Sus scrofa: one gene and its partners. The protein of the gene in region 3 interacts with the protein of the main gene of each other region in a pairwise test. Links are inferred from orthologs where the notes say so. Each region holds a gene or a part of one and is shown on either strand. Other genes may lie near its edges.

Region 1 (3,503 bases), on a different chromosome or scaffold from region 3:
TCACCTGGGGCCTAGGAAGAGCCTTGTAACCGCCCTTCAGAGGAGCCAGCGACCTCACCCCATCACCCTGGTCCCCCTCACGGAAGGTGGGAGGTGTCTCTGAATAATGCATGCTGGCTCGCAGAGCTGACTCCTGTGTCTTGTTCCCGTAGGGTGACTCTGGAGGCCCCCTGACCTGTGAGAAGGATGATGCCTACTACGTGTATGGGATAGTGAGCTGGGGCCTGGAGTGTGGGAAGAAGCCAGGGGTGTACACCCAAGTGACCACATTCCTGAATTGGATCAGAGCCACCATGGAAAGGGAGGCCAGCTTCTAGGGGGTCTTCCGAAGCTCACGGCCCCTCCTCGATAATACTCAGATCAGGTGAGGCCTCGTGGGCAGTGGCGGGCACCCCGTGGAGCCTCTGGGTGACTACGTTCTAAGCAGAGACCACTGGTGGCCAGCAGGGGACCAGCATGTCCGCCACTTCCTCAGGCTCCCGCTGGGAAAGCTAGACATGAATCAACCTGAAATATAGGATGTTTGCTTCCCTTTGCACACCTGTACCTTCTAGAAAATCAGTGTTCACAGACTGCCTTCACCTTGGACATGTGCAAATGCGAGACTTCCGAGGCTCAGCGTTGGTGGCGGCCACCTTTCCATCTTTATTCCTCATCCCAGACACTCAGCACGCATGCAACAGAGCCGGCATCCAACTTGTGGGTATTCGACAGGGACCAAAACACACTTCTCCACCCGCTTTCCGAAATGTTATTTTAATAAAGGGGGCTGGGGGGGAAGGGCCGCTGAGCCCTTTTCACAGTTGCCCCAACTGAAGTCATGCCTCTGGCGTGCAAATTTCCTCTCCAGCTTCACTCCCAAGAATCCTGGGTGGATGCTGCCCACTCACAATGGCAAGGCCCTCCTCCTTTTGACGTGCAGAATCTCGGTGGCATCTGGGTTCACGTCCCCCCTCTGATTATCACCAGTCTCCACAGCCTCCGGCCCCCCCTGCAGAAACCAAACACACCCTCCTGAGTTAAGACGAAGCTCCGGCCCTGCTCCTACAGGACAAGCTGTCTCCGATGGATGTTCACCTGTTCACCTTCCCCTTCCTTTTGCCCTCCTCCACCCTCCCCAAGAAAAAGGCTCCTCAAGGCAAGAAAGAGAAAGAAGACAAGCCCATCTCTCGTTTAGACGTGGTGTCTTTCTTCTGAACAAAGTACGGTTCAAAACCCAGACTGCTGTAGCCAGCAAGTCCCTGACCCCTTCCGCGAATGTAACGAGCAGGCGGTCAGCACAGCCTGGGCTGCCTCGGCCCGGATTGATGTCACCCCAGCATGTCTGTCTCCGAAGAACTAATGGCTGCGACTTCAGAAAAACCCTGCAGGAAGTTTAACCCGGGTGTCATCCGCCTGGTCATCTCAGGCCCAGGAAATTAGGCGCCTTGCCTGAGCTGCCTTTCACACATCTTTAGAGCCAGCTGACCTTTGGCCAAAAATAAAGTTTGAAAAGAAACAATGAGTTTGCCTTCCCCCAAGGCCTTGCCAGCTGGGGTGGGTTTGCACCCGCTACTCACGTAAGCCCCCCGGAGACCCCTGGCGTTGGCCAGTTCTGCAGCCCGCCGAGCCATCTCCACTTTGTAGGAGCCAGGAGGTGTCCAGCCAATACCTCGGGTCAGGTTCAAATCTGATTTGTACTTGACCTTGGGGGATGGAGGGAAGCAAGAGGAATAGGTCAGCAGGGTTTGGGGTGGTTTAGATACAGAGTGGAGAGGCTTAAAAGGGCACCCTGGAGAACGGGCTGTAGTCAGTGAAGCCAGGATAAGGGGGGGCCAACTCTTGTTGGCAGGAGTTCCCTTGGCACTGAGGATCCAGTGTGCTGTAAGCTGGGCCAGCCTGTTGCCGTCTCCTGTATCTTTCCACCTACATGGTGAGGGCTGTAGTGGGGGTGGCAGATCAGAGATCTGGTTCAAGGCTGAGCCCCTACTTGGACTTGCTCTGTGGCCTTAGAGAAGTCGCTTCTCTACTCTGGGCTTCAGCTGCCTCCCAGAGGAAGTGGGTGGGCTGGGCTGGGCTGGGCCACTACTCAGATCCCTTGGGAACAGTGTGGCACAGTGACCAAGAACTTGGGCTCTGACATCAAACCAAAGGGGGCTCAGATCCCAGGCTTGCCACTTATTTGCCATGTGGTCTGGAGTAAGTTATTCACTTCCCTAAGCCTCAGGCTCCCCATCTGTCAAGTGGGGGCAGTAATGGGATGGCTGTGAGAGCTACAGGGCATAGAGCTCAGAAAGCACGTGGCACAAGAAGGACTCAAGACACTGAGGTTCTTGTCATGTCTTCTGATGCTATCACCTTAGGTCTCCTGGGCTCTCTCTCAGCCTTGGGGACGGGGGACCAGGGCCATCTCTTGTGAAGAAGCACAGAGGTGAGGCCTGGGCAGGGGTCGGGGGGAGGCTCACATCGCTCTGCAGCTGGTGGGCCTTCCGTGCGTGCTTCAGGCCCAGCTGCTCTGGGTCGCAAGTGGGCTGGGGCAGAGGCTGCCGGTAGCTCACATCGCTGGCCAGCTGCTGGCTCCTCTTGGCCTGGAGGAAGCCAGGCTGGTCCGGGCCGCTGTGGAACTGGGACCGACTCTTGGCGAAGTCCTTCTTGTACTCGTTGTCGCTCTGCAGTTTGCCGACGCTGAGGAAGTGCTTCATCCTGGGGTCATCGTCGACACTTCGGTACCCAACCTGCAGGCCTCGATCCCGCAGGAAAGCCTCTTTGTACCGGAACTGTAGGTCAGAGGAACAGACAGGGGTCACGGGTGCGCCCCACCCCTCCAGGGTCAGCCCTCAGGATGCTTAGCAGGAAGTGCAACAGTGGGTGAAGAGCACAGCTTCAGAGTCAAGTTGACCCGAGATCTGTATCTCCCTCTGTTGCCTTCTAGCTGTGTGGCCTTGGGTCAGTTATTGAGACTCTGAGCCTTGGCTGCCCCACTTGACAAAGTGGGAGAATGAACTTCTACTCCACAGGATATTGAGAGGATGCACTGAGATGGGGGCTGAGCTTCATGCCTGGCTCAGGCTCGAGCCCACTGAGTGGGGGCTGCTGGGATCATTGCTGCTGTAATAATTAATGATCCAACCGCAAGAGAAGTGCAACTATTTCTTCAGCAGCCCCTCAGTCTTTGATTCTTTCTAGCTTTCAGGGACCCAGTCTAGCGCTCCTCAAACCATCTATAGTGAAGGATGGGATTTATTTTGTTTTGCTTTTCTAAGTTTCCAATCCGTCAAAGTCCAATCCATGGGCCTCCTGCCCATGATTAGCATGAAGTAGCGTGAGGTGCATTTGATAACATTCAAACTGGCCCCCACTCTGCTCAGCCAGAGGAATCCACTGGTCACACGCTTGGATGTCATCATGTCCAAATGCTAAAAATGGTTCTCAGTGCTTGATCTTGACTTCTGTACTTCTCTCACTTTGGACCAGTAACGAGCCGTTCAGGAATGAGCATATATCTAGTGAATCATGGCTTCCTC
Region 2 (3,653 bases), on a different chromosome or scaffold from region 3:
ATAGTCCCACGTCACCTAACGTGCTCCACCGATTTAACACAACCTGACCCATCTCAAGGGAAGTCTCTGCCATACCCTATATAAGTAACTGCAAAGTCTGCCCAGTTCCCCCTCCTTTCAAAAAAAGAAAAAACAGACATCTTACAATTACAATTTTTTAAAATCCCATCAAACACTCACTCTTTCAACATTTCTTCATAACATGTTCTGAAAGAAAACACAACATTATTTTAGTAAAGCAAAAAGTACCTACACTATTTTCAAATGTTTTGAGGAAAAAAACCAGTTACCTTACCTATGTAAAAGATGTCCACATGGCAAGACGTGAGCAACAATACGGGATGTATGAATGTCCTGTAAAAGGAAATAAATGCTAGTGCTTACTTACACGAAGACAATATAAATAATCAGTACTTTCAATCCAAGACAGAATGTTCCAAAGCTAAAAACATTTTAAACTCACCTCCAAACATATTGGACAATTCTGCCGGGAAACATTTTCAATACACTGTTTAAAAGCAAAACTAAAATTACCAAAAGCTTAATAGTATTAATTATAAAAAAACTAACAAATGAAACAATACCAGCTTACTAAAGGTAATAAGTAACATTAATACACGTTTCCTGTATGTCAGACAAGAACTGAACAGTTAACTCTCACAACTATTTCAGGCTGTGTACATTACCTGAGACAATGAAATTGCTTAATGTGTCTTAATTATTCAAATTCTCTTCATTTTACAAATAACAAAATAACAGTTCACATTACAGAAATTTTAACACATGTCATATGCCAGGTTCATTACCTGTATTAACCCAATTAATCCCCACAACTCTAAATGAAACAGGTACAATTATTACTCCATTTTATAGATGAGGTATTTGAGGCCTAGAAACGCTAAATAACCTTCCAAAATTACATACTAGCAAGAGATGGAAATATATTTGAGCTCCAACAGGAGACCTCCAGGGCCTGAGATCTTAACTTGACAAGATAGTGTCATCTGTGAAGAGGTAAGAGAAGGCACCAAGCCACAGATGATGCCCAGGTTTTTTTAAGTAAGCACTTGAGTAGTTGACAGGACCATTTACAAACACAGACAATACAAAATAACTAAGAAACAAAACTACAAGAGAAAATAGGTATATAATTTTTCTAAAGACAACAGAGCACATCTTGCCATCACCCCAAACTAAAGCCAGTAAAACTAACCTTAATTTTTTATCTCCTACAAATTCACAATCTATTAATCAAGTACTTTAAGCCAGGGTTAAAATCCTTGGGAGTCTTTATTCAGCCTCATTCTTTCTCCCTTACACCTTGTCAGCATATCCCATATGTTTATTATTCACCTCAATTTCTCTTACCACTCTAGTATTTTAGGCCAGTTATTACCTACTATATAGTATTCAAAACCCCTCATCAGTCTCTTCAGTCTCTAAATTCTTGGACAGAATCAGCACTGTAAATGAGTTATTAGATTTTTTTCTAAGTAATGAAAAATAATGTTTAAAAGGCCTAGAATCATGATATAATTGCTGCATCCAAATTAAAAAATATTTCAGATTATGAAAGAAATACTAAATTTTCTAGGAATGCTAACAAAAGGTTACACTTTATATCATACATTATAAAGCTATTCTTAAAACCAGTACCAATAATAAGAATCCATGAGCCAATTTAGAACTTGTCTACATTATACTAATAAAAATGTAAGTACTCTTATATAGAGAAAAGGAATTATAGATTAGATGTTCTGACACGTAAGCTTTAGAACATCTACTTCTTAGTATTGCTTAAAAATAAAAAGCGACATGAACGACTTGGTAATATCTGAAAATCAGCATGTTCCTAAACAAATTAGGATTTAAGGTATTTTCAAAAACACTGTAATAGTTTTTAAATCATGAGAACTGAATTATATACCTTGTGCTTTCCTTGGAGATTCATTGCTAGGCATAAGTTACATTTCAAACAGTGGAAAAAATCTTCCTTTGGACCAATCCTAAAAAAAAAAAAAATATGAAAAACAAAAGTTCAGATTCATTCTTACTATAGTAATCATTTGTTCATTATATATAAGCTTAATTTCACTATAAAGTTCAAACCACACTGAAGATGAAGTAATAAATCCCTACCTCCTCAACCTCACTCCCCAAATGTAAACACTCTAAGGAGAATGATTATCTACCCTTCCATGTCTTTTTCTCTACAAATATACACATAGACACAATTTGGGTTTTATTTTTTACATAGATGGATTCTATATATATTGCTTGGCAACTTTTTTTTCAGTTAACAGTACTTCCTCAAGAGTATTCTATGTGTGAATATATAGAACCACTTCATTCCTCTTCATAGTTACACAGGATTACATGATAGGAACATACTGTAAATTTTAATACTTTTATTGACATGATTTACTATCTTTAGTTAATACAATGACATAATAAATACCTATATATAGACATCACAACCTACATGGTGATTTTTTATAAGATTCCTAAAAGTGAAACTATGGGGTAAGAGGGCATTGCATCAGCAGTTCTGATACCGCCAAACTGACTTGCAAAGATGGTACCAATTTATACTCCCACGAACAGTGTGTGATGGTACCTCTGTTCCCCACACTCCTGCCAACACTGGTTACTTACATGACAAATGAAAAATGGCACTTTAATTTGCATTTCTCAAATGATGAGACAGGAAGCGTATTTTCATGTTTATGAACCATTTGGATTTCTCCTGTGGATTGTCTGTTCATGTGCTCGGTTCATTTTTCCACTTGGGTATTTGCCTTTAATCAGCTTTTTTTTTTTAACTGAAGTTGATAGTTGATTTACAATATTATATTAGTTTCAAGTGTATGGCATAGTGATTCAATATTTTTATAGATTATACTCCATTTAAAGTTACTAGAAAATAATGTCTATATTTCCCTATGCTGTACAATATATCCTTGCTGCTTACCTATTATATGTATCAGTTTGTATCTCTTAATCCTTTACTCCTATATCTTGTCCCTTCCCCAACCCCCCACTGGTATCCACTACTTTGTTTTGTATATCTCTGAATCTGTTCCTGTTTTGTTACAAACATTCATTTGTTTTATTTCTTAGATTCCACACATAAGTGATAATATACAGCATCTGTCTTTCTCTGACTTCTTCACTAAGCATAATACTATTCGGGTCTACCCACAGCATTGCAAATGGCAGAATTTGATTCTTCTCTATGGTTGGATAATATTCCATTGTGTTTATGTGTATGCCTGTGTTTGTGTCTGTGTGTGTGTTGTGTACATACTATATCTTCCTTATCCATTCATCTATTGGTCGACACTTAAGAGTGCTTCCATATCTAGGCTACTGTTATGAACTAGGATGCATGTACTTTTTCTAATCAGTATTTTCAATTCTTTCAGATTATGTTCCCAAGAGTGGAATTGCGTATGGTATCATATGGCAGTTCTACTTTTAGTTTTTTGAGGAAACGAATTTAAAAGAGCTCTGTACGTATTCTGAATATTAATCTTTTTCACCTGTATATGTTATAATTACTTTTCTGGTACGCCATTGTTTTTTTTTTTTTTGGTCTTTTTGCCTTTTCTAGGTCCGCTCCCGCGGCACATGGAGGTTTCCAGGCTAGGGGT
Region 3 (3,753 bases):
ATTTATCTTTGGCCTTTCCAACTCAAGTGCCCAGAAGCCTCAGGTCATGAGTAGTTATGACCTAAACAAACTTGTTTGAGCTATCTGTCAGCTACAAAGTACTGCTATTGGCATTATTAAAGACGAAGGTTAAGCCACTGATTCCTTCATAAACTGGTAAAGTATAATACGCTGATGATATGAAACGTACTCCTTTGAAACAAACAACAAAGAATCTGTTAGTTGAGGAGGATTTATTTTTTTGGAAACTTTCTATGGCCTCATAAAACAGACTAAGTTGCAGTAGTGTCCAAGTATAACTCTGATCTAAATAAATTTGCATATTTATCATAAATAAAAATTTCTAAATATGATTAATTAATTCAAATCAATGACACTTGTATTTCCTAGAAGGTAATCCAAAGTGTGTAAAATATGTATATAAGTCCTTTTCACTTTCAACAGAATTATATTTTAGGCAATCACCATGTATAAGAGATGAAATGCTACCTCCAAGAACTTCAAATCAGTTCAAGGAAACTTGGCAAAAGATAGAAAATCAGATCAATTATAACTTTCTGTAATATGTCAAGTACTTTGAGTTGGGGAAATGCAGTAACCTATTTTTCAGAAAGAGGATACATGATTAAATGTTGTTTTTACTAAAAGACTGGGTTTTAAAGGATTACAGTCACAATCAACTACAAACATGACATTTTGGGTAAAAGACTGCAAAGAAAATCGGGAGCCATCACTTATACATTAATTAGAACCTCATTCTTTACCTAAACGTTTATTAAACATTAACATGCAGTAACTGACTACATATTTTCCAGCCCTCTAAGTAGGGAAAGTGCAAGGGACTGGGATAGGATGTCAAATAGAATAAAAATCCAAGCAGTCTGAGTAATTCACAAGTCAACTAACTGGATGGTGAGCAACAGTCTTTCCTCATGTCTCTACTTACATGAAAACAGCCTTTCTTACCTGGAAGAAGTATGACTGTAGAGGCTGATCTTTATTTTCTTCATCCACATATAGTCCTCCGACCACATATACCTGATTTTGTTGGGTGACGATGCTGGAATGATTTCTAGGGATCTGCTCAGCCAGGGCAGTAAGGTAGCATTCATTTTCCGTGGGATCGTAAGCCACCGCAGCTGTGTCATTAACCAAGAGGATGAGGTCTTTGACAAACATTCCATGCCTGGGAATGTCATTCAGGTAACCAGGAAGTAAATCTTCATCACCAACATCACCATTCACCTCACCAGCCCCAGCCTTCTCTGTGTTTTTGCTGGGTTCTGGGAGTTTGCCTGCGAAGGCATCTTTGAGAACTTTGATTTTTTTCTGGAGTTCTGGGTTGCTTTTAATTATGTCATCTTTCTCAACATGATCTTTAAAATATTTTTCTGTCATGAGGCGAAAACGGATACAATCAAACACTTCGCTAAGGTTTTTAACCCTGTTTTCTTTGTCTGTTCGCACCCATTTCATCACTGCCTCAAAGACTGCTTCTTCCTTTTCTACATTTAGGCTGTCATTGGAAATGACTGAGATCAGCTCCTGTGGAGACAACTGCATAAAGTCCTCTTCCTTACAAATCTGTACAAAGCGATCAGACACAAATTCACGAGCGGAGATGGCAAGTCTTGGGCAGTCGAGAAGAAGTCCTAATCTTAGGATAGCTAGACAGTTACCAGGAGCAAGTCTTTTCTGAAGATAAGAAACACAGACGGTGAACACCGAGGGGATCTGAAAGCGGCTGGCCAAGGCAAAGATATCTTGCACATTTCCATCGTTGAGATCAATAGTGGCAGAGTATAGGTATTTAATGATTAAATCCAGTACAGCAGGATCCACATTATCTAGAACTACCTCCTTCTTTTTCGCCTCATCAATTTCAGATAAAAAATACTCACGAAAGTAAGGACTACACGCTGACAAAATCAATCTGTGGCAAGGAAGACTTTTGTCACCTGCTTTTAGGGTGCAATCGATGAATTTTTTCTCATCCAGGAGATCTTTTAGACCATCCTGAAGCAGGGTGGATTGATAAAGCCGCAGTTCCTCTGCGAGTTCCCGCTGGGAATCCATTTTGTGAGTAACCTGGGTAAGGAAGGGGACACTAAGGCCTTAGCTCCTCACAGCACACAGGTCTAGCAGTAAAAAGGCAGATCAGTGTGCTTTGCCCAGCTTGAAGCCTTTGCAATTTAATCCCACCAGCTAAATATAGATACCAACTCTAACAACGGGAATTTAGGAGAGAGAGCTGGTTTGGAAAGAAGAGTTGTTCTTGCAGCTGTTACAGATTGAAAGGCACAACTGGAACTTTTAATCACTAAGGAAACAGCTAAGAAACAAGAGATTTAAATGAGGTGGAAAGCTTTAAAATACATAAGGTATTAGGAGGTATGCTATTAAAGGCTACCACAAGAAAATGCTTATTGAACTAACAGAAAACTGAATCATAAAAATGAGTCAGTCCGCTAAAAATGGTCTAGTGGCAAACTACTTGGCTATCTGAATTAATGATGCAAAGGTCAAGAATATGAGGTGAGTTCATTTGGATACTCATAACTTTCCAATAACTGTTACACACAAATTTTTATTTTCTACCTAAAACAGTGGGATATGTAATTTTCTTTTAGATGTAGGAAACATAAAACTTCTACTTAGTTACTCTAATTACAGTTTTTTTTTTTAAACTTTAGAATAATACTCCCCATCATGATTGAAATAAATGCAGGGAAACTGCTAATTTTCTAAGACATTCTAAATTATCTTTATTCTCAGGCGGAAAAACTATAATTAGTATTGAGTTAAATTGTAAAATTATCTAATTTGTTCACACCTGGCCCTGCTCTACAAAGTACTTGATGTGGCAAATAATAATAAGAATAAAACAAGCAAATTAAAGGCAAAAGTTAAAAGGAATCAAGACCAGAAAAAAAAAAAAAAAAAGGTTAAAAGCTAACACTAGGGAAAGAAAAAAGAAAAATTAGCTCCTGTGGCTAATCTTAATGATTTGACAAAAGTTCCTTTATACTGAAGGTATACACACATAAAATATGATCACTGTGGTTTTAAGTGTTGATCTTTAATTAAATAAAAAGTAAAACGGAACAGATATAACCCCATGAGAACAATGCTATCAACAGAACATAGCAAAATCAGAACAAAGTGCTACCTCACCGATATAACTTGAAAAACAGGAGGACTTACACATGAATAAAAAATATATATATAGAACTAGAGCTGTAATTTGTTGACTGGAATAGGACACCATATCAACCAAGGGATGCAGAAGGCATTATTTGAAAAAAATCAATACATCTTCATGAATTATTTTATCACAAAATTATACTGTCATAACGCAGTGGGGCTGTAGAAACACTGTAGTTTCAAAGGTTAAACATGCTCAAAAGAATATAAGCTCTATAAAGACAGGGATTTGGGGGACCTTTGTTTTGTTCAGCACTACAGCCACAGGGCTTCTTGGGTGCTCCATAAATATTTGTCAAATGAATTCCACTCCCAATCAGGGAATTATGTATTTTTAAACTTCAAGGTCTCCATCCAAGAGTAAAGGTTTTTTCTCTTATTTTACATCACGGTGAAGTCAATGGTACTGTCAGCTGCTAAACCAACAGCTGAGAGAAGAGCTCATTGACTCGTTTCCATATATAGATGCCACTAAAGGTTTTAACACAGTAGAAAAAAACTAACAGCTGCTCCCTTGTTAAAACAATAAATGACTCATTTCTCTTTACA

What was found.
Region 1: the proteins of KLHL41 (region 3) and NRAP interact in binary tests that used the Homo sapiens proteins (3 or more experiments, as listed by UniProt). The link is inferred for Sus scrofa from reciprocal best matches to the Homo sapiens genes KLHL41 and NRAP.
Region 2: the proteins of KLHL41 (region 3) and RCHY1 interact in binary tests that used the Homo sapiens proteins (3 or more experiments, as listed by UniProt). The two-hybrid records come from large-scale screens. The link is inferred for Sus scrofa from reciprocal best matches to the Homo sapiens genes KLHL41 and RCHY1.

Annotation. Positions count from the first base shown.
Region 1 is NC_010456.5:123,927,942-123,931,444, forward strand, and holds the end of NRAP (nebulin-related-anchoring protein), read right to left. Parts: intron 2,757-3,503; coding exon 2,445-2,756; intron 1,686-2,444; coding exon 1,560-1,685; intron 1,505-1,559; exon of another isoform or gene 992-1,504; coding exon 887-991; 3' UTR 621-886; downstream 1-620. Other genes in the region: HABP2 (hyaluronan-binding protein 2), read left to right, coding at 153-317. UniProt on the Homo sapiens protein: May be involved in anchoring the terminal actin filaments in the myofibril to the membrane and in transmitting tension from the myofibrils to the extracellular matrix.
Region 2 is NC_010450.4:71,168,420-71,172,072, forward strand, and holds part of RCHY1 (RING finger and CHY zinc finger domain-containing protein 1), read right to left. Parts: intron 2,007-3,653; coding exon 1,928-2,006; intron 509-1,927; coding exon 464-508; intron 355-463; coding exon 296-354; intron 208-295; coding exon 181-207; intron 1-180. UniProt on the Homo sapiens protein: E3 ubiquitin-protein ligase that mediates ubiquitination of target proteins, including p53/TP53, TP73, HDAC1 and CDKN1B. Mediates ubiquitination and degradation of p53/TP53; preferentially acts on tetrameric p53/TP53.
Region 3 is NC_010457.5:75,874,258-75,878,010, reverse strand, and holds the start of KLHL41 (kelch-like protein 41), read right to left. Parts: upstream 2,318-3,753; 5' UTR 2,077-2,317; coding exon 967-2,076; intron 1-966. UniProt on the Homo sapiens protein: Involved in skeletal muscle development and differentiation. Regulates proliferation and differentiation of myoblasts and plays a role in myofibril assembly by promoting lateral fusion of adjacent thin fibrils into mature, wide myofibrils.